3 linked regions of the Pelodiscus sinensis genome follow. The protein of the gene in region 1 interacts with the protein of each later gene in a biochemical or structural test. Links are inferred from orthologs where the notes say so. Each region holds a gene or a part of one and is shown on either strand. Other genes may lie near its edges.

What was found. The genes of interacting proteins can lie anywhere in the genome.
Region 2: the proteins of MAPK8 (region 1) and DUSP10 form a complex in vitro, tested with the Homo sapiens proteins (2 studies listed by BioGRID, with this or other methods). The link is inferred for Pelodiscus sinensis from reciprocal best matches to the Homo sapiens genes MAPK8 and DUSP10.
Region 3: the proteins of MAPK8 (region 1) and MAPK8IP3 form a complex in vitro, tested with the Homo sapiens proteins (3 studies listed by BioGRID, with this or other methods). The link is inferred for Pelodiscus sinensis from reciprocal best matches to the Homo sapiens genes MAPK8 and MAPK8IP3.

What each region holds. Positions count from the first base shown.
Region 1 is NC_134718.1:5,444,612-5,452,460, forward strand, and holds the start of MAPK8 (mitogen-activated protein kinase 8), read left to right. Parts: upstream 1-4,848; 5' UTR 4,849-4,933; intron 4,934-7,849. UniProt on the Homo sapiens protein: Serine/threonine-protein kinase involved in various processes such as cell proliferation, differentiation, migration, transformation and programmed cell death.
Region 2 is NC_134713.1:154,040,744-154,048,451, forward strand, and holds the start of DUSP10 (dual specificity protein phosphatase 10), read right to left. Parts: upstream 3,008-7,708; 5' UTR 2,435-3,007; intron 583-2,434; 5' UTR 539-582; coding exon 1-538. UniProt on the Homo sapiens protein: Protein phosphatase involved in the inactivation of MAP kinases. Has a specificity for the MAPK11/MAPK12/MAPK13/MAPK14 subfamily. It preferably dephosphorylates p38.
Region 3 is NC_134726.1:612,570-619,978, reverse strand, and holds the start of MAPK8IP3 (C-Jun-amino-terminal kinase-interacting protein 3), read left to right. Parts: upstream 1-4,402; 5' UTR 4,403-4,484; coding exon 4,485-4,802; intron 4,803-7,409.

The DNA of each region.
Region 1 (7,849 bases):
CCAGCACAATGAAGAAGGCAGAGAGGCACTGGACAAGCGGATGCATATGTTCCATGGCTGTAAGCCAAAGCTCTGGATGAACAGGCTGAAGGCAAGGGCCTCAGGAAATGTACTGTTTCTAAATGCCAGAGCCACAGCTCCTGTGATGGGGAAGTGCCTTACCAGATGACTGGAATGTGCCAAGTGCAGCTCCCAGACTCAGGGTGTAGCTGGCCATGGACATTTGGGGGCCAGCAGTAGGTTCCAGGGCAAAGGAGCAGAGCTTGGGAGGGGCAGAGAGAAACACACTGAACTGGTGGTGCCAGTCCTTGTGGGGCACAGACACAGTGAACTGGGCAGAGAGCCTGGACCCTTGGGGTACGTCTAGACTACATGCCTCTGTCGGCAGAGGCATGTAAAATAGGCTACCCGACATAGTCAGTGAAGTGGGGATTTAAATATCCCCGGCTTCATTAAAATAAAAATGGCCACCATGCAGTGCTGGATCAGCTGATTGTCAGCACAGCAGGGCAGTCAAGACGTGGGGACGGAAGCTGCTTCATTGACTATGTCGGGTAGCCTATTCTACATGCCTCGGCTGACAGAGGCATGTAGTCTGGACATACCCTTGTTGGCTGTGTCTAGACCGGCAAGTTTTTCTGCAAAAGCAGCTGCTTTTGCAGAAAAACTTGCCAGCTGTCTACACTGGCCGCTTGAATTTCCGCAAAAGCACTGACTTCCTACTGTCTGAAATCAGTGCTTCTTGAGGAAATACTATGCTGCTCCCGTTCGGGCAAAAGGGCCAGTGTAGACAGCTCAGATTTGTTTTGCGCAAAACAGCCCCGATTGCGAAAATGGAAAAGCGTCCGTGCCAATCTAGACGCTCTTTTCCGTTAAAAGCATTTGCGGAAAATCATGCCAGTCTAGACGTAGCCGTTGAGTGCTGAAGGAGAGATTGTATACACTGAACTGGAACTAAACCCAGAAGGATGATGGATGTGCACAATATGCTGGTGGCACCTTCGTTCTTAAGGGGGGGCCACATAAAATTGAGCAGGCCCCAGTCCCTATGGCACATAGTGGGGAGATATGAGTGGGCCTAGTTTCTGGGCTGGCACAGTGTTCTGGGGTCTGGCTGTCTGGGAGCACACAGAGCTGGGGACTGGTCTCTGTTCAGGACACACTGAGGTTGGCAGGGGAGGAGTCTGGTAGGAGTGCCTGTTCTGTTCATTCCTTCTGGGGCATCTGACACTGGCTACTGTCAGAAGACAGGATACAGCCACTCTCTGAGTTACGAACAAGTTACGGATCAACACTTGGTCCGTAACTCGAGCTGTTCGTAACTCGGACCCCATTGAGTTACACGTGATCGCGCTGTTCATAAGCGCGGATCGCGTTCGTATCTCGGGGACCACCTTTACGACCGCTCCATGGGAGCTTTGGTCGTAAGTGCGAACGGTCGTAACTCAACCGTTTACAACTCGGGGAGCGGCTGTACTGTGCAAAATGGGCCGCTATAGCTATTTTTACCTTTTCTTTAAGGAACATTCTTTAAGTCCCTTATTTCATTAATTTGTCATACACAAGGGAAGGCCGAATCTCATCTGTACAGAGCAGTATTAAGTCGTGTAAATGTTGATTGAAGCTTGTTTTCAGGGTAGAATTCAGACTGAAGAAACATGGAATTTTAACAAAAACTAATTCCAAAGCTAAAAATAAAAATTCAAAATTGTGCTGAATTGTGCGCCTAAAATAAAAATCATGGATGTTGCTTCATATTTGAGACGCTGCGTTAAAACATATTAATATTCAGATGTTTTTCCACCTCATCCCTTTGGTTTTTGCACTTGTAACACAAGTAAGGAAATGCTAGGAAAAATTTAGAAAACTTCTGGAAAGGTACATTCATGACTAAGTACCAAAAGCCTAACCACATGGCTCTTCTATTATGTTTCATTGAAACAAGTACTGTGTACAGGGGAAAGGATGGGGCTTTGAAACACGGTACCCTAATCATTCTCCTTCCAATTTTTTAAAATGTGTGGAATTTATTACTTTTATTCCTACCTCAATTGCAGCAGTGGAAAGAACATTTTACTTGTTATCCAGGTATAGAAAAACTGCAGAAACCCGCTAAATATTGACACTGTTAAAGCTGAACTTCAAATTAACATTAATTTCAGTTGGACTGTTAAAGAGCTTTATGAATTAACAAACAAACCCCAAAGATGTGCTGAAATGTTTTAAAACAGGCAAGTACTATTTTAAACAAACTTATGACGACTGCACTGTATGTCTGAGGACAGTTGAAATGTACACATGCCATACCTACTTTGCTATAGGGAAAGGTGTTTCCCTAAAACATCCCTTAAAATAAAGGGTTGTCCCTTATCTATCATGTGGTTTTTCCTTATTTCCATCCCACAAGAGATGGTCACCCTATGGGCTGGTCCTTATTGGGGAAGGACTACTTAGCAGTGGGGACTGACAGGCACATGGAGATGGGGGACGGGTCCCTGTTGGGGGCATATGACACTGAGGTCCTGGGGGTATCCCACGAGGGCATGGAAGGAGGGAGGGGGGGAAAGGAGCTGGTGTCATAGGGTTGTACAGTGGGGAGAACTTAGAGAGCAGGGAGTAGAGTCATGGTGGGGCACAAGGAGCCCGGGTCTGTCCTAGTGGACACACAACATCGCAGGGGTATGTCTGAAAAGGTAGAGGGGGACCATGCAGGGAGGGGCACAGAGATGAAGGGTGGCGCAAGGAACCAGTGGAGTCTGTTCTAGCTTTGTTGGGGGCACACGGAGCTGGGGCGGAGGGGCTGTCTCAGGCTGCACAGAGCAGCGCAGGAACAGGGAAGTATAGGTGGACAAATGGAACAGAATAGGTGCCGTCCAGGAGGCAGGCGGGGGGCAAACAGAGTAGGGGGGGACCTGCCCAGGAGCTGTACTGGGTAGGAGGCTCTGTCAGGAGCCAGATGGAGTGGGGGGCTGTCCAGGAGAGCACACGGGGTGGGGGGCTCTCACGGAGAGAACAGGGTGGAGGGCTCCGCAGATGGGGGCACACGGGCGGGGGGCTCTGACAGGGGAGGGGCACACAGGTGTGGAGGCTCAGATACGGGCACACGGGGCGGGGGGGCTGCCCAGGGTGGGAGGCTCTGAAAGGGAGCACAGGGGGCAGTGGGCACATGGGTTGCGGGTCACACGTGGGAGGGCTGCGGGGGGGGGGGGCTGTCAGGGGGCACATGGGGCGGAGGGGCTGCCGGGGGGGGGGCTCTGACAAGGGGCACGCAGGCGGGGGGCTCTGACGAGAGCGCTGCGTGGGGGCACACGGGGCGGGGAGGGTCGGCGGGGGGGGCACACGGGGCGGGGTGCTGCGCGGGGGGGGCTCAGACGAGAGGGCTGTGCGGAGGGGTCCGCGGGGGGGCTGCGCGAGGCACACGGGGGGGGCACACGGGGGCGGTTGCGGGGGGGCACACGGGGCGGGGGGGCGGGCTGCGGGGGGGCACACGGAGGGGTTGCGGGGGGGCGCACGGGGCGGGGGGCTCTGACGGGGGGGCGCACGGGGGGGTTGCGGGGGGGCACACGGGGCGGGGGGCTCTGACGGGGGGGCGCACGGGGGGGTTGCGGGGGGGCGCACGGGGCGGGGGGCTCTGACGGGGGGGCGCACGGGGGGGTTGCGGGGGGGCACACGGGGCGGGGGGCTCTGACGGGGGGGCGCACGGGGGGGTTGCGGGGGGGCACACGGGGCGGGGGGCTCTGACGGGGGGGCGCACGGGGGGGTTGCGGGGGGGCACACGGGGCGGGGGGCTCTGACGGGGGGGCGCACGGGGGGGTTGCGGGGGGCACACGGGGCGGGGGGCTCTGACGGGGGGGCGCACGGGGGGGTTGCGGGGGGCACACGGGGCGGGGGGCTCTGACGGGGGGGCGCACGGGGGGGTTGCGGGGGGCACACGGGGCGGGGGGCTCTGACGGGGGGGCGCACGGGGGGGTTGCGGGGGGGCACACGGGGCGGGGGGCTCTGACGGGGGGGCGCACGGGGGGGTTGCGGGGGGGCACACGGGGCGGGGGGCTCTGACGGGGGGGCGCACGGGGGGGTTGCGGGGGGCACACGGGGCGGGGGGCTCTGACGGGGGGGCGCACGGGGGGGTTGCGGGGGGCACACGGGGCGGGGGGCTCTGACGGGGGGGCGCACGGGGGGGTTGCGGGGGGCACACGGGGCGGGGGGCTCTGACGGGGGGGCGCACGGGGGGGTTGCGGGGGGGCACACGGGGCGGGGGGCTCTGACGGGGGGGCGCACGGGGGGGTTGCGGGGGGCACACGGGGCGGGGGGCTCTGACGGGGGGGCGCACGGGGGGGTTGCGGGGGGCACACGGGGCGGGGGGGCTCTGACGGGGGGCGCACGGGGGGGTTGCGGGGGGCACACGGGGCGGGGGGGCTCTGACGGGGGGGCACGCGGGGGGGTTGCGGGGGGCACACGGGGCGGGGGGCTCTGACGGGGGGGCGCACGGGGGGGTTGCGGGGGGCACACGGGGCGGGGGGCTCTGACGGGGGGGCGCACGGGGGGGTTGCGGGGGGGCACACGGGGCGGGGGGCTCTGACGGGGGGGTTGCGGGGGGGTTGCGGGGGGCACACGGGGCGGGGGGGCTCTGACGGGGGGGCGCACGAGGGGGTTGCGGGGGGCACACGGGGCGGGGGGGCTCTGACGGGGGGCGCACGGGGGGGTTGCGGGGGGCACACGGGGCGGGGGGGCTCTGACGGGGGGGCACGCGGGGGGGGTTGCGGGGGGCACACGGGGCGGGGGGGCTCTGACGGGGGGGGGGCTGGGAGCCGCGCAGGTCCGGGGGGGGGGGGACGCTCGCGCGGCCGGCGGCGCAGGGGGCGGGGCGGGCGGGGCGCTGCGTCTGTGCGCGCGGCCCGGCTCCGGCTCCGGCTCGTTGCTGAGCGGCGGGGCGGTGAGTGCGGGGCCGCGGCCTGTGTCGGCGCCGGGCGGCCCGGCCCGGTTCGGCTCGGCGCTGGGCGGGGGCGGCGGGGCTAGTGGGGGAGGGGCGGCAGTCACAGTTGGCGGTTGTGGGGGGAGGGGCGGGGGTCGGTGGAATGGTCCCGGGGGGGGAGGGGTGGCAGAAGTGGGTCGGTGCAATGGTCCCGTGGGGGGGGGAGCGGGGTCCCGGGCCCGCCCCCCCCCCCCCCCCCCGTGCAGCGCCCTGCCCCTCTTGTGCACGGTAGCAGGTGGCTGCTTTGCCCCCGCGCGTTGCCCTGGTTCCCGTGGGGGGGCCTGGCTGCAGGGGGGGGGCCGGGGGGGGGGGCTGTCTCTTTGTTGGGCTGGCATCACCAGAGAGGGGCTCTGCTCCTCACCAGCCAGGGTTCCCAAGCTGTGGCAGGGTTTCCTCTCCTCTTGCAATATCTCCCCTGCAGGGCCGCTTGGCACAACTTGATTTTCATTGTTTTAAAAATAATTCTGACAAATATCAGTTTTATTTGAAACTGTGTTTTCAGTCTGTCAGTGTTCACAGAGATGGAAAATAAGGGGGGCTGGTCAGACAAGAATAGAATGACAGTCAGCGCTGAGATTAAACAAGTTAAATAGTCATTAAAACACAAATTGTCAACATCATGCCAGAATATACAAAATACACGTCCTTAAGTCAAACTCTAATAAGTTTTTCTGACTTGGCATAGCTGTATGTTTTTATTATTATCAATGAAAATATCTTTTTGGTTTTCATCACCATTTATTGATAAACTAGATTATTTTTCTCCAAATTTACTTGTATTTTATTGTAAGCTTTTCAGGAAAAAGAGGTTTGAGTTGCTGGAGAATGTAGCAGTTTGAAGTGAATGAGATCTGTAACAAAATTCCAAATGACTGCTTTTGAAAAATGCCTTTTTGTTCTTCTGGGATATTTGACCTCCAAAGACAGCTGCTTAGGAAGTCTGGCAATATTTTTGTCTCTTCTGAAAATCTGCATTTTAAGCCTCATAATTTTTGTCAGAAATAACTGAAATGTTTGCAGTTTTTCTGTTGCCCTCCTCTAGTTTCTCTTTTTTATGAGTACTTTAGTGTCAGATTTGACTCTTCAAGCTTCAGATTTTTTTTTCACATTTTTTAATGCCATGGTTTTATCAATGCAAAGTGCAAGAGCCCGTTAAATGGTCTCTGTTAATAAGCTGCAAATGTGAATCCCATGAGCCTTCTTTCTTCTCAATTATAGTACCATAGTTGGGTTTATACTGTTTTGTTGAATTTCAGTGTTATATAGAGGGAGCCTTGCAAAATTATTATAAACATTTTTCCAGCCCTGGTAGCATATCTGCTCACTTTGCCTGACTCTAATGATGTAAACACAAACAATGTTTTACCCACCTATGTAAAGAAATTAGTTGCTCTAGGGTAAGTTCTGCAACTTCTTGTATTGCAACTTAGTTTTATTTAAAGGTTTGGAGATGACTATTGGTAAAGGCCTGTGATGAATTCACTGAAAAACTAGTTTAATTTTCAGAATTGCAGGCAAATTCATTCTTCTTTGGATTAATCAGAGGCGTAAAACATTGTTTTGTAGCATGTTTTATTTTGTTTGCATAAATTGGTGCACTGTCAAATATTGAGTTAATTTAGAATTAAATCAGATTGTTACCTGAAGGGAGATAGGGTCACATTTAGCTAAGAGTACTAATTAAAAGTGAGTTCAGTGACTTTTCAGACCCTTCATATTGTACATTCCGTAATGAAGAATATATAATAACAAAGGCATAGCTGATGAAATTCAAATAGGCCTATGCTTCTGTTTTGACCTCAGTCCATGGAGGCAGCCATCTTAAATTATTTTTCTTGTATATGAATCCAGTGGCACTTTTCAATGTTTCTATCAAGTAAGTTCTAATGTCGTGGTGTCCAACATGCTAGCTGCTAGCCACATGTGGCTATTTGCCCCGTTGAGTGTGGCTAGGACACCACAGTTCTCATGTATAGAGCAATACACTTTCCCTCTATGTGTATGTGTGTGAAACTGTTTTCTTCACAAGCACAGTCCTGTACTAGTAGAGTGAACTTATTGCTACTCTTTGCTAGTGCTGGATTTTAATTGTACACTTCTTAGTTTGATGTCCATTCTCATTTCTTGTACGCTAATCAGTGAGATCTGATTCACATGTGTAGGGAGTGGGTGATTAGGGAACATACCTGTGGTAGTGGATGAAATGTCCAGGCATTGAGTTTGGCTTTTGGAGAAGGTCTCTGAAAAGTATCAGACAAGAATGAGATCTGATGACCATAGATTGTATTTGATACACATTCACATACACAAAAACTCAATAACTGACTCTGTCGCCCAAATGGAGCTTTCTGAGTGTCCTGGTTCTCCCACTAAATGTATTGGAGTTTTTGTTTCTGTCTTTGCAATTGGGTACTGTAGAATGATTGACTCCCATTTCTGAGCAAGTTTTTTTTATTGGTTAAATTTAATTTAACCTTGAAATATCAATTTATATCTGAACTGCGGGGAGTAGAGTGGAGGAATGGACAACGGAGATCTGAAATGTTGGAAATGTGAATCTTTCGGAATAAGATTATAGACTTTAAAAAGACTATAGAAAAAACTGCAGCATTTTATTTGGTAAACGTGACTCCTGTGTGCACTGAAAACCATATTACCTTGTTTCTTATTGACTACAGGTTGCATCTCTCAAATCTGGGATTCTCTCTTCTGTGGTCTCAACATCTGTGGGCTAGAGATGTTAAATTTCAATTAATCAACTAATTGAGTCGTCGATGGAATTTCCATTGACGACTCAATTAGTCAATAAGGGGGATGCTGGCTATCCCACTGCGCCTGTCCCTTTGAAATGTACGAGAGCTGCCTATGGCTCTTGTA
Region 2 (7,708 bases), on another chromosome or scaffold:
CCATGAACGGCCTGCAGTCAATGATGACAGGCCCTTGGCTCTGTTGGTGGCTCTTGTTGCATTTGGTCATCTTTTTAGCCAGGTCATTAGGGTAGATTATTTTTATGCTGGCTAGTTGCTTGGTTGTTCCTGAGGCCGGACTTCCCACTCCACCTGATGGATTCAGTGTGCCCGTGTTCTCATTGTTGTTGACCATTTGGTTAGCAGGGCAAGTGGTAGAGGTTCCTACGTTGGTGGTGCTACTGGTGCTTGCTTGAGTTTGGGCCTGATTGTCCTTGTCGTAAGTTGCCACAGTGCAGCAACTGGTGCTGCTGCAGCCACAACTCAAGGAGCGTGCAGAGCCGTTGGATGAGGGCATATACGGGAGATTAGCAGCCTTTAAGGACACAACAGCTGTACCAAGGAGACTTGTGCAACTCTCACTGGCAGAAGAAGCAGATTCAAGGTAGCTAGAGTCTAAACAAAGGTTGAGATCCTGAGGTCTTACTGGCCTTGAAAGTGCCACTACTACCCTGTCGTCTAAAGGAGATGGAGGCATGAGGAGGCTGAGAATTGGCAAGTCAAGAAGAACTCAAGATCTGTCTGCAAAGGGAAAAAGAAAAAAGGATCACATTAAACATACAGAGCCAGAGATTTCTAAAAGCAGTTTTCAATACTCATCAGTGATTTTCAGGGGGATCAGCTCAGTGCAATTTATGAAGGCACCAGGTCCTGCAGCAAAAGCTTCAACTCTTATCCTGTACTCAAAGAGAATGCAGAATATGCAATTGGCCTAGACACAGTTAAGAGGAGACATTCATTTACATGCAGATGCGGAGTTATTCTGAAATCTTTGGGCTGCAAAGCATGCAACTGATAAGGGCAATAAGAAGGCATGTTCTTTCGTTTCCTCTGCTTACAGCAAGGGACAGAACTATTGGCATGGCTCAACAACTTATAGAATGCATAGCAGCCAAATATGTCACAGGAAGATGTACAACTTTTCTAGCAAGCCTGAATAAAACTAGCTTTAGAATAAACCCTTGAGAAATCCATTTGAAAACTTAATTTCACACAGACGTAACAAGGAGGTAGAAGATGCCAGAGATTGTTGTGAAAGACACAAACCTGCATCCCAACTGCATCTCCCTTTTCCAGATGCTAGTACAATTCTAATAAAAATAAAAATAAAGCCTGGAAGCTTGAGCAATCCTAGAGGCAGAAGCACCCTCTGCTCCTCAGAACAGTTTTGGAGACTCCAGGAATAAAGGCCCCTTCTGCAGCCCCTAAATTGTGATCTTCACAAGCTTTACCAAGAGACACTATATAAAATTAGAAGCATTTCTCCCTGCCAAAAAAAAAACAAACAAAAAAAACCACACCAAAACAAAACCCACCTTCAGAGCATTGGAAGCTCCTCTTCAAAATACATTCCATCAACCAGCTAACAGATTAAATAACTCTAACTAGAAGCGACCAAACACTCCTAAAATCAGTTTTTCTCCGTCCAATTATATCATCCCAGTCTACAATCCCTATTATAGTATCCTTTTTTACACTAAGGAGCTATCCCAAGGCAGGCCCTCCACTCTTATTTTCTTTAAAAATCTCTTTACTAGGTGAATTTGAAAATAGCTGAACAAGGAAAAAATGTTTACCATCCACAGATGAAAATCAGCATGGACTCACATAGCAGAAAATTATATTGTAGGGTAGAGACAGATCAACCTTTGCAAAATGACCCAGTAGATTGCCTAGCCTATCCCTTCTCCCCCCCTTTAGAAAACCAGCACCCAACAGAAAACTGAAAAGCAATATCCTTCTGCTTGTAAAGAAAAAACAGCAACACAATTAAAAATAAAAGGCAAATAAACATATAAACCAGTAATGTTACAAAAACACGTCATAGGATTTGATCCCAAGTACAGATGATTGTTTTCCTTCTAGAGACAAGAAAATATGCAGTTTTGGAAGGTCTGCATCTATGCAGCAGAGGGTTGTATATTTCCAGCAAAACCATGAAGTCAGAATAGAACTAGCACTGCCCTGTATAGGACCGTTCGCCGCCACTTTCTCTTCACCCAGGACCATACGAAAATGAAGTGTGTGTCTGGGGTGGAGCGATAAAGCCAAGGAAGAAGATGCAAGGAAAGCCCTCCGAGCACTCTAGTCCCTCACCTTTTCCCCCTCCCGACACACTGCAGCAATCCCAAGACGAGAAAAGCCTTTTCTCCCATCCCACCAACACTCACTAGAAATAACAGAGGTTGCAATCAGAGGCAGTAGAAGCACAACACTGTTGGCCAAGCTTCCTACACCGACCCCTCCAAAAGTAGCATTGCGTACAGATGAAAGTATGTCCTTCTCCGTTACTAGGTATCTTATAGGTGCTACTTCGATGCAGCTATAGACCCGCTGCCCTCCCCTATCACTATAAGCATAGCCTTTCACTTACTTCATAAATAAGTAGATCCCTTCAGCATCTGGCGCTCATCTGTGGCTACAGAGTTCTACGCTAAGCCCCCATTCACGCGGCTTCATTGATCTCCAGCGGCAACAGAGTTACTTTCTCTTTTGCTACACTGTAAATGTAAGGTTCGAAAGGGGCGGGACAGACGGTGTCCGCGCCCAATAGGGGCTCTTTCCAGGAAGTGGGCGTGCTTCCAGCGCCGGGGGGCCAATGGCTGGAGGTGGGAGAGTGGAAGGAGGCGGGGACCTGAGCTCCCCGCCGCTTGGGGATGGTTTATCCGACGTAGCTTCAGGTCCGCTGTTGGTATAACACAGGAGGGGCAGGGGTGATGTCATTGGCAGCCAATCAGACGGTTGGAGGAGCCGGCCGGAGCCGGAGAGGAGCAGCTGTTCTGTATTTACATGTCCACTGAGCCAGCGGCGTGTCCTTAACCCTTTCCTAGGCTGGACTGTCAATGGGGCTCGCTCGCCCCCCAGCCGTCCCGCCTCACTCGCTTCCCTGTCTCCAGTCCTGCTTCTCTCCCCTACTCTCGCGGCAGCTTCTTCCACCCAGCCCGCCGCGCCGGCAGGTGGATTTGTTCCTGTTCATCCCCCTTCTCACGTAAGCTGCCCTTAGCCAAAAGACGGGGGAGGGGGAAAGGGAGCCCGATCCAGCATCAGCTCCAGCTGCCCCGCTGGGGCTCCCCGGCACGCTGGAAAAGGCAAAGGCTGGGTCCGAGCCCACGCGGGCTGGAGCTGCGGGTGATGAGCGCGGAGAGCCAGCTTCCAGGTCCGGTGCTGCATCCCCGCACTCGCTGCTCAGGCTCCGCAGCGTCCCCCGCTGCAGCCCTGCCGGGGTCCCCCAGGCAGGGAGGGAGGCCTCCTGTCACGCCAGAGGCATTGGCCAAACTTCTCCAGCTCACGCTGTTGGCTTCGGCACCCATGCAACTCCGGAGCCCTGCCCAGTACGGCAGGAGGCAATCAAATAGCAGCGCATACCTCCGGCAGCAGGCTCTCGGAGAGTGTCTATCAACACCACGCCGAGCCCCGTCCCTCGCCCGCATCTCCCCCAGCAGGGAGCCCCGTGACCTTGGTTGGATCTTAACCACGACAGACGGGGTCTGTGCGATTATTGTTGTTAAACGGGTAATAAAGATTGAAGCGGGCATAGGGACAACAGTGCTGCCTGCCACTGTAGCAGCCTGCCAGCAGGGGTTCCAAGCAGTAAGCCAGTGTGCCTGGGATGGCAGAGACCTTAACAAACGAATGGGAGAGGACTTTACCAAACACCATTTAATAAGTCCGTGTACAAAGCTGCGTCACACAACATCGCGTTTCAAAACTTGCCTTTGCCAATTGGTTTTAAAAAGCCTGGCGCCCCACTTTGGCTGCCTTTCCAGCCGTTGGCTATATCAGTCACTTTCCTGTTATGGAGTTTGATACTGAAACGATGGGATTATCACAGCTGGGGTAATTTTAAGTCAATCTGTTCCAAAAATATTTTATAAACATTACACATACATAAGGAAGCACTTCACCCACCACTGGAAAGCAGCCAGCGCTAGAGCAAAGCCTGGTTAATGTTTCACAGGGCTGAGCAACACTACACAATGGTTTTAGATACTGTATCGAATTGAAGATACAGGGGAATTCAGGTAACTGCAAGGTAATTAACAAGACTAGAATTTGACTAGGACACTAGAGGTTTCCCTATTGCAGAGAATTCTAGCATCCAGAGCATCAGCAATGCTTGTAACACACCCCATTGCCTCGCACAAAAAGTGTTTGCAACAGCATACAAACAGACCCAGACAGCACTAGACACCTTGATTCACTTGGACATGGTCAGCCAGTGATGAGAGAATGTTTAAAGAGCACCTAACCAGGAGCTAAGCCTACTCCTAAAAATTAAGTGCCTTTAAAAGCTGTCTCTGTTGACTACTAACGCATGTCAGCTCCCATCTCTCCAGTTGCACTTGCTATGAGTGATCTTATTTAGGAAACATTAAACTCCATAATTCAGTCACCAGTGGAAGTTATAGTTTAGACAAGACTCACACCCTTTTTATCATGGTGTCATTTCACTAAGTAGTTTTAGGTAACACTGACAGGGTGGTGGAAATGCCTGAGTTATCTCTGAAATACAGTCACCACGACTGCTACCATCATTGGAGCTGATTGGTGGGAATAAGTCTGAATTTTCCTTCTTTGGATACAGCCAGCAAACAATTTGCATGACTATAAACTGTGAAAATTTCATTTTTATATATAGAAACTGCACAACCAGTCTGTTTACAAATGTTAGAAATATATTTTTCCATCCATACAAAATGTTCTAGGGATAATCTGTATGGTCCGGATTATATACAGACTCAGACTATAAAATCAGAAGAGACAATCTGGATCAACTACTTATAAAAGTCAAGCATTTATGTGCCGTACAAGCTTATCTGGAAAATAATAATTTCCAAAGATGAAGATTTCAGCATTCATTTCCAACCCACTGCAGAACAAATCCAAGATTTTTCATTGGGGAAGGGGAGCACAAAGAGAAATCAACACTCCAACACAGTCAGTATCTAGGGAACAAGGGTCAAGTCCCTGCTTTCAATACAGAAGAGCAGTGACTTGAAACAAGGTTTTTGACAGCCCAGGTGAATGCCCTACTTGGTTATTGGTTATGCCAAGATGGAGGTCTCTCTCTCAATTTCACACTCAATTATAAAGTTCAGGGAAACATTTTGATTTCTCCCACTCAGCACTTCCCAGTGAAAAACTAATAAATGAAACCTCTGCTCAGTTCTACTTACACTTTTATACATGGAAAATGAGACAATATAGTGAGTGAGGTCAGCGCTGTTACCTGTGAGATAAATATCCATGCTACCATGCTACCATGTACTGCTCCCTGCACTGAGTATTCCAAAGGTGCTAGGGGACCATGTCATGCCCCACAAATGGTCAGGGAATTGGTTGTGCATCTCATGCAATGGACAGCTCATTCATCATCTTGCATCTGACAAAGTGGGTCTTTGCCCACGAAAGCTTATGCTCCTACACTTCAGTTAGTCTATAAGGTGCCACAGGACTCCTTGCCGCTTTTGCAGATTCAGACTAACACAGCTACCCTTCTGATACTTGTCATCATCCCAGGACTCCCAAACTTCGTGCCAGGGCATTGTGTCAGTACCAACTGTGAAAGGAGTGTCATCCGTTGAGGCTCCAGCACCAAAAAGAATAAACATTCAGTAAAAAAAAAAATCCTGTGGTGATGACTAACTTATGGAATTTCTCTTTTTAGATAGTTTCCTAACAGTCCTGTTCCCTCAAAACTAATCATGTGTTAGTGCGAGCAGCATCAAGTGGAAAACACAATCATATCTGGGAATGGAAGCCATAAATCACTAAGTGAAGCACAAGGTCCTAGTGTAACACAGAGCCTGACACCTTATATCTGTAAGTCTCTACTTTCTTTACTTCCAAGTTAACTGTGAGGGCAGCTGCAACCTGCCCCATAGTATGCAAATTAGGATCAACCCTAAGGCTCCTGGTAGGTAACCAGTGCAATGTTCAGACTGAGGTCAAAGGAATCCAAAGTTTGCCAATTAAAATATCCTATGGAAAAGGAAAGCAAAGTGGGTGCAAGGGAAGTGAGAGAGAGAAATTAAGTTTCAGAGACAAATTACCAGGGTAAAGCAGATGAAAGAATCAGACTTTCTGGCAATATATTTAGACACTGAGTTCTGAAGAGGTCCAATAATCAATGTGGTCCCCTAATGTGGGCAGGCATTCAGAAACTATATAAGATTTTAAAATGATTTTTCCCCATTTCGACCCTTGTGAAATCCTCTTAGTTTTTCCTATTCCACTGACAATCTCTCAATCAGAAATACCTCAGCTGTCATTGCAACCCAAGCTATCTGGTGAGTCAACAAAACAATGCCATTTTAAGTATCTTCACTGATCAAAGATGTGTCCATAGAATTTAACTGACAAATCTGAATCCCTTTGATTTTCCTGGGTGTAAGGTGGGACAGGCATTATGCAGATTTGAAATCTGAATCCAAATTAAAGAAGCTTTGGTTGACTCCAAAGCTGGAAAAGACCTTTTTTCCAGATCCATTTTCAGGATGAAGGAAACTTCACGAGACTATTTGGTAAAATCAAATGTCCATGTTTTGGAGTAAAAAACTCATGAGGACAGGTTGTCAGAGTTTGACAGCACTGAACTCAAGCCATTTGATTCTGTCCATAATCCCAAACCTGGTCTATACCTAACCAAGATCCAGATTCAGACCACCTCCTCAGCCTATCTCTACAGAAAAACACCTCTCCTGGATGCCTGTCAAGTTAGTGGGTTCTGCGATAGCCTTAGTCAAGCTTCCCTGGTGGGCACACACTGGGCTATTTTGGATCCCAACACTGGACCAACGTGCTTTTCACTTGCAGAGTCTAAGCAGAGCCAAGGGATTGCCTATTGTTTTGGGTCTCTCTTCAGAGTCTCCATTTATCACTCCCTTCTGAGAGTAGAACCTTATCATTCAGCTGCCTAGGTCCCAAGACTACACTGTCCCTCCTCTCCCTTCCCCCGATTCCCAGAAACACACCATTCCCAGAGCTCTAAACTTGAGGGCACTTTGGTACAAGGTTGTCCCTTAGGGTGTTACCCCAAAATAGAATTAAGGTACCCTCACAATAGCTGGCCCATCCCTCCTCCCACCCCCGGTTTATAAAAACAGTCCACCTGTTTTTCTGTTATAACCAATCTGTTCTCACTGGGTATACATCTTGGCTACGTCTACACTGGCATGATTTTGCGCAAGAACTCTTTTGCGGAAGAGTTCTTGTGCAAAAACTCTTCCAGAAGAGAGCATCTACACTGGCATGTTCCTTTGTGCAAGAGATGTGCTTTTGCACAAGAGCACCCATGCCAGTGTAGACACTCTCTTGCACAAGAAAGCTCTGATGGCCATTTTAACCATAGGGCTTTCTTGTGCAAGAAATTCATGTTGCCTGTCTACACTGGCCTCTTGTGCAAGAACACTTGCACGAGAGGGCTTATTCCTGAGCAGTAGCATCATAGTTCTTGTGCAAGAAGCACTGATTTCATACATTAGAACATCAGTGTTCTTGTGCAAGAACTCGCAGCCAGTGTAGACAGGCAGCAAGTTTTGGCGCAAAAGCAATTGCTTTTGCGCAAGATTGCACCAATGTAGATACAGCCCTTCAGAATGGCTAAGGAATATCATAAACTTGCATGAGTTCCCTGTTTTAGAAACTC
Region 3 (7,409 bases), on another chromosome or scaffold:
GTTTATCCTGTACAGACTAACTCGGCCATCCCCTGAAGCTTTTAATAGGGATGTTAGATAACATTTGTTTTACTAATCATGTAGCTGTAAAAAGTTTTATTGGTTACATGGTTATAAAATACTCTCCGAGTGCGGGGCCGGCAGCCAGTGAACTCCTGGCCCCACTGATGGGAAGCCCCCTGCAACCCTGCACTGCTGCCTCTGTATCAGAGGCAGCAGCATGGGGTGGTAGGTGGAGCCAGTCCATGAGGGGAGCCATGAGTGGGGTTCCAAGGAGGATGGAGCTAAGCTATTCTCAGTGGTGGCAGAGAACAGAACAAGAAGCAGTGTGCTCAAGTTGTGGGGGGGATAGGGGAGAACTAGGTTGGTGTTACGTGGCGGGTTCCCCCTCAGGCTTACAGCCCTATCATCATCAGGGGCACCTGTGGTTGGCCACCCTTACAACCCTTGCTAAACCCCGTGCTTCCCCCCTTTCCAAACTCCTCCTGTTAACAGTTCGCTAGTAGTCTAACAGAGTCCCCCGCGTCTGGCGGGACTCACCTGGCCCGGCGTTAGCGGAGATGGAGGGGGTCCCGGGCCTGCCCCCGCTCCGGGTCCCGACCCAGGACCCTAAAGGCAGCGAATAGGCTTTGCTGTCTGGTTGGTGGGGAGCTTCCCCGTAACTCACCAACCCCTGTGGTTTCTAATGATGTCCCATCGTCTCCAGACCCGGTCTTGGGCCACGTCCTCCTCTCCGCTGAGGCACCTGGTCCAGCACCAGTCAGTGTCTAGTCCATCTGGTTTTGGAGTTTGTGGCGACCCTCCGCGCGGCGCCTTCCTCCTCCCCTTGCTGCGTTCAACTCTCCTCCTCCCCTTCTGTGGGGTCTGGCCGCTGTTTGAATTACCGTTGAGTGCAGCTGCATCCGGTGGCCCCGCCCCCCGGTGTTCCTCACTGACGTCACCTGACCCCCGCCCCCACTGGGTTCATGGCGTCACCGGTGCATGCCGTGCAAGACTGCTGGGGTCCGGCATTCTCAGTGGTACACTTGCCGCCGAGTGCTTCCCTCAGCCGGCGAGCAGCGCAAGACGCCAGGCGTTCCGCCGCCTCAGAGTCCTGCGTCTCGTCCCTGGCGCTCCTGGCGGCACGTTCGCTGACAAGCACTTCCCCCAGCTGCCGTGTAGTGCGGGGTGCTGGGGGCTCCATCACAGTTGGATATTAGGAACAATTATTTCACTGGGAGGGTGGTGAAACACTGGATTGGATTACGTAGGGAGGTGGTAAAATCTCCATTCTTAGAGGTTTTTAAGGCGAGGCTTATCATAGCCCTGGCTGGGATGATTTAGGTAGGGTTAAGTGTTTCCTGTAAAATGAGCACTTGGGCATCTACTTGGGAGAGAGTTGCATGCCACCTAGCTGATTAGCAGAGCACCGATTGCTGACAGCATGTGTATCTATTGGTGGTGCACATCTGCACATGCCTTGATGCATATAACATAATTTACTCCACTCATGGATGGAAAAATTAGAGGGAACATTGGTGGGGTTGTTCCTACTTTGGGGGGTTAGACTAAATCACTTCTTGAGGTTTCTTCCAGCCCTAATCTTCTATGATTCTATTTTTAAAGCAGGATGGTTAGTATAGCTCTGCCAGTTCTTCCTTTTTTTTACACTACAATTTATCTTTCCCTGAAAGGGGTTGTACAAGGAAAACTATGATGTACTCAGTCAGTTGTAGGGGCTAGAGAGAGAATGGTTACAAGAAGTAGGGCTGGGTGTTCCAGATGGAATGTGGTAATTCCATTGCGATGGTGTTAGGAAAGGGTTAACATTTCTTCAGAGAATATTACACACTCTGCTCTCTATATAAGGTGGGGTTTTCAAATGTTCTGAAATCCAGCAACAGCTTAGTAAACTAAGGATCTGAGGGCCTGATCCAGCATTCATTGGATTGAATGGAAAGACTCCATTGGCTTCAGTGAGCTTTGAATAATACTATTCTTCAGCACCTATAAATCAAGAGGTATTCTAATAGTCTGGGCAAAGCTGAGACTTCATTTCTCCCTCTTGTTGAGCTAAGATCAGTGCAAGAATGGGGATTAAGTGGGATGGTGGTTTTATGTTGTCGCATGCCCCAATATTCTGGGTCTAGCTGGGGGCATATTTGGTTGACTGGTCTAATTCATGTTCTGTTGAAAAGGTCTGGGCTGTTCTGCAGCTGAGAATAGCTGGAGCTCAGCAATGCTTCAGCCACACACACCCTAGCTTGACCCCAGCACTGGACGCTGTAAGGTGGGGATAGGGCAGGCAGTGGATAGCCAGTTTGGCAACTTTACATTACTCAAGGGAACACATCAATGTTATTTCATCAATGATATGTTTCCTATAAAAAAATAGTTCTGCAGCACCTTAGAGAGTAACAAAAAATGTAGATGGTATCATGAGCTTTCATGGGCACAACCCACTTCTTAAAAAAAAAGGAAAAAATATTGTCAATTAGTGTCCGTGCTAAATGGGGCTAATAGAATGGACTCATGCTTATCTTTTTATGTCATTAGGGTGCGGAATGTAGCTGCCCATCCAGATCAGGTCTTTGTTCAGACCTTGATTGCAGGTGTCAAACTTGTAAACAAAACCAAGTTCTGCAGCTTCTTTCTCCAGCTGGTTTTTGAAATTGCTTTATACAAGAGGCCCCAGCCCGACTTCTGACCCCTGAACTTACAACCATTTTTGTAAGTGCGGAAGGGGCCGGAACCCCCCAACTTATGTCCCTGGCCCGCATTTATGAAGGCGCACAATGCCTATTGTAAATGCAAGTTCGAGTTATGATGCCCCCGACTTGCAACACTTCCCTCGGAATCAGTCGTGTTGCAAGTTGGGGGCCTCTTGTAGTACTTTTAGATCCATTAGTGCACAGTTTCTCAATTTTATTTTGGCCCTGGAACTCTTTTAGACTTGAAAGAATTTTGTGGAACCCCCAATAACAGTCTTATATATGGAACTGAAAAAGTAGACCACAAATAAGTAAGAATAATAAACAAATGCTAAACTAGGTAATGAGATCGACATTTAGTTTAATTGCACATATTTTAAAACAAAAATCACAACTGGTTTGACAGCTGAAGCTTTGACTTTGTCCGATATGGCGCTAATATATTCGTATTCAGTCACCCACATGATCCACGGTTCCTGAGAGTGAGTATGGGGATTTATGGTGGTATATAACAGGTGACTGCACCATTGATTGACTGCATGTGCAACGCTGAGTAGTGACATCATCGTCCCCACTCTCTGGCTAAGCTGGCATTACACAGGGACACTTATCGTGGGAAACAAATGAAAATTGTTTTCAATAAAATTCATAAATGCTTAAATATTATTTTTTTAAAAATCATAAAATGTTATTGTAATGGAATTTTCTTGCAGAACCCTTATTTTCACTTTGCGAAACCCTGGGGTTCCACAGAACACCATTTGGGTAACACTGCATTAATGAGTGCCTGGGCAAGTTACAATATGCCCCAACAGGTTTCTGTGTTACCATTTCAAATATCTGATTTGTGCCCATTAGCCCTTTGTTGTAGAGACTGTCTAGTTTTGCCAGTATACACACGGCAGAGGGGCATTGCTGGTGCTTGATGGCACAGATCACATTGGTGGATGTGTAGTTGTATGAGCCTCTGATGTGGTGGCTTATGTGGTTAGGTCCTGTGATTATATTGCTTGTATAGATGTGTGGACAGATAAAATAGCAATAAATCCCTATAAATTGCAATAGCAAGTGCAGGGGACTGGACTTGGGGACGTCTCAAGATTCCATCCAGTTTTATTATTCAATGATTCTCTAAAGAGGATGAGGAGGAACACAGAGTGGAGTGTTAGGACTCAGGAACGCCTTTGTTCTAATCTTGGTTCTGACACCCCCTCTATAACCTTGTTGGAGTCACTTTATCTTCCTGTCAGTTTTTCTATCTGTAAACTGGAGCTAGTGATCGTCACAGGAAGGTTTTGAGGACTAAGTATATTTGTAAAATGCTTTCAATGTGCTATTGTCCGTTTCCGGGACCATCCATCACTTAAGCTGCGATGAAGTTGATACCGTCTCCTCATCCCACCCTGCTCTCCGATACGTCTCTGCGTAGAGCCTGGTCCTGGGGCTGGCAGCTCGTTAGCCCCGCGCTGTGTATTGCGGACGCCGATATGAAGGCGCGGCCCGCCGCCAGCGTGTGGGGGTGGGGCGGGCAGAGGCCTCACGGTTGCTAGAGCAGCGACCCCGCAAACGAAGAGCCGGGCGGGTCTAATTAAAGAAGGGGCGCTCCGCTCGCGAGCCCGGGCGGTGCCTCCCAGCGCCCCTCCCCCCGCCGTGCGGGCGGGCGCGCGCTGACACTGCGCGGGAGGCGGCGCCGCCGGCCGGGCCTGCCCATTGGCGCAGCAGGGGAGGGGCCGGGCGGAGCCGGCGGCCGCCTCAGCAGCTCGGCGGCGGCGCTCGGTCCGGTCCGGCGGCAGGATGCTGGAGATCCAGCTGGACGATGGCGGCGTGGGCGGCTACCCGGGGGACGATTACTGCTCGGGCTCCGTCATGTCGGAGCGCGTCTCGGGCCTGGCCAACAGCATCTACCGCGAGTTCGAGCGGCTCATCCGCTGCTACGACGAGGAGGTGGTGAAGGAGCTGATGCCGCTGGTGGTGACGGTGCTGGAGAACCTGGACTCGGTGCTGACCGACAACCAGGAGCACGAGGTGGAGCTGGAGCTGCTGCGCGAGGACAACGAGCAGCTGCTCACGCAGTACGAGCGCGAGAAGGCGCTGCGCAAGCAGGCCGAGGAGGTGAGCCGCGCCGGCTCCCGGCAGCCTCCGCGCCGAGCGCAGGCCGCGGGCCCCTGTCGGCCAACGGCAGCTGTGCGGGGCGGGGCTGTCGGGCCGGCCGTTGGCGGTCGGTGCGCACGGGGCGGGGGCGCGGGGTTGGTGAGGGCTCCAGTGGGCGGGGCGCGACCTGTCCTCTGGCCGCTCTCAGAGTTCCCTTCCTTCCCGTCTCCCGTGGGGATCCCGCCCCCTTAGCGTGCCGGGGGGGGGCAGGCCGGGGGGGGACTGAAGATGCACTAGTGATTCAGAGAAGCGTGCCGGGGGGGGGGCAGACTGGGGGGGACTGAAGATGCACTAGTGATTCAGAGAAGCGTGCCGGGGGGGGGCAGACTGGGGGGGGGACTGAAGATGCACTAGTGATTCAGAGAAGCGTGCCGGGGGGGGGGCAGGCCGGGGGGGGGACTGAAGATGCACTAGTGATTCAGAGAAGCGTGCCGGGGGGGGGGGCAGGCCGGGGGGGGGACTGAAGATGCACTAGTGATTCAGAGAAGCGTGCCGGGGGGGGGGCAGGCCGGGGGGGGGACTGAAGATGCACTAGTGATTCAGAGAAGCGTGCCGGGGGGGGCAGGCCGGGGGGGGACTGAAGATGCACTAGTGATTCAGAGAAGCGTGCCGGGGGGGGCAGACTGGGGGGGACTGAAGATGCACTAGTGATTCAGAGAAGCGTGCCGGGGGGGGGCAGGCTGGGGGGGACTGAAGATGCACTAGTGATTCAGAGAAGCGTGCCGGGGGGGGGCAGACTGGGGGGGACTGAAGATGCACTAGTGATTCAGAGAAGCGTGCCGGGGGGGGCAGACTGGGGGGGACTGAAGATGCACTAGTGATTCAGAGAAGCGTGCCGGGGGGGGGGGCAGACTGGGGGGGACTGAAGATGCATTAGTGATTCAGAGAAGCGTGCGGGGGGGGCAGACTGGGGGGGACTGAAGATGCACTAGTGATTCAGAGAAGCGTGCCGGGGGGGCAGACTGGGGGGGACTGAAGATGCACTAGTGATTCAGAGAAGCGTGCCGGGGGGGGGCAGACTGGGGGGGACTGAAGATGCACTAGTGATTCAGAGAAGCGTGCCGGGGGGGGGCAGACTGGGGGGGACTGAAGATGCACTAGTGATTCAGAGAAGCGTGCCGGGGGGGGGCAGACTGGGGGGGACTGAAGATGCACTAGTGATTCAGAGAAGCGTGCCGGGGGGGGCAGACTGGGGGGGACTGAAGATGCATTAGTGATTCAGAGAAGCGTGCGGGGGGGGCAGACTGGGGGGGACTGAAGATGCACTAGTGATTCAGAGAAGTGAAATGCCTCTCTGCGAGAGCTGTAAGGTGATGGCTGTGTCTACATTGCACGCTCTTTGCACGAGAACAATCGTTCTTGCGCAAAAACTTGCTAGCTGGCTACACTGCACGCGCGCTGTTGCGCAAGTAAATTTACAGTCCAGGCAGTCCCCGGGTTACGTACAAGATAGGGACTGTAGGTTTGTTCTTAAGTTGAATCTGTATGTAAGTTGGAACTGGCGTCCAGATTCAGCCACTGCTGTAACTGACCAGCAGCGGCTGAATCAGACACGCCTGGGGCAGAGCAGCTGGGGCGCTGCCGGGTTGGTCCCGCAGTGCCGCTCCACGGCGCTACTGGACCAACCCGGCAGCACCCCAGCTGCTCTGTCCCAGGTGTCCCCAAGTCAGCCGCTGCTGAAACTGACCAGCGGCTGACTACAGGAAGCTCGAGGCAGAGCTGCTCTGCCCTGGGCTTCCTGTAGTCAGCCGCTGATCAGTTTCAGCAGCGGCTGACTTGGGGACGCCTGGGGCAGAGCAGCTAGAGTGCTGCTGGGTTGGTCCAGTAGTGCCGCACCTCGGCGCTGTGGGACCAACCCAGCAGCCCCCCGCATCCTCCACGGCTTTGCTCTGCGTCTCCCTGGTCTGCTGGGGGCGGGGGGGGGGGGCAGCTTTTCTCGCCGTGGAGGACGCGGGCGGTGGGACTGCTGAGTCGCGTCTCGGCGGTCTGCTGGGGGAAGGGTCCCGTTTGTTAGTAGGGATCCGACATAAGTCGGATCCACGTAACCCGGGGATTGCCTGTATAGCGTCAGAAAACAGGGTTTCTTCCGGAAGTGTTATTCCTCTCCCTACGAAGAATAAGCCCTCTTGCGCAAGAGCTCTTTCACAAGAGGGCAGTGTAGACAGGTAACATGAATTTCTTGCGCAAGAAGCCCCTATGGTTAAAATGGCCATCAGAGCTTTCTTGCGCAAGAGAATGTCCACACTGCCATGGATGCTCTTGCGCAAAAGCACATGGCAGTGTGGATGCACTCTTGTGGAAGACCTTTTGCACAAGAACTCTTCTGCAAAACAGTTCTTGCACAAGAAGCCTGCAGTGTAGACATAGCCCATGTGTTTCAAGTATTGTGTCTTAGCTCTCATTAGATCTATTGATTGGTTCCAGAGCCATACATGTTCTTAACAGCTGTGACCTTATACTCCCTAAAAAGTGTCCTGGAGATTTCCTACCTTGTAGTGAGAGAAGATCACTCAGAAAGTGGGCTTTTTACTTGTCCCCAAATATAGGATTTGTTTGTGTGTATATATA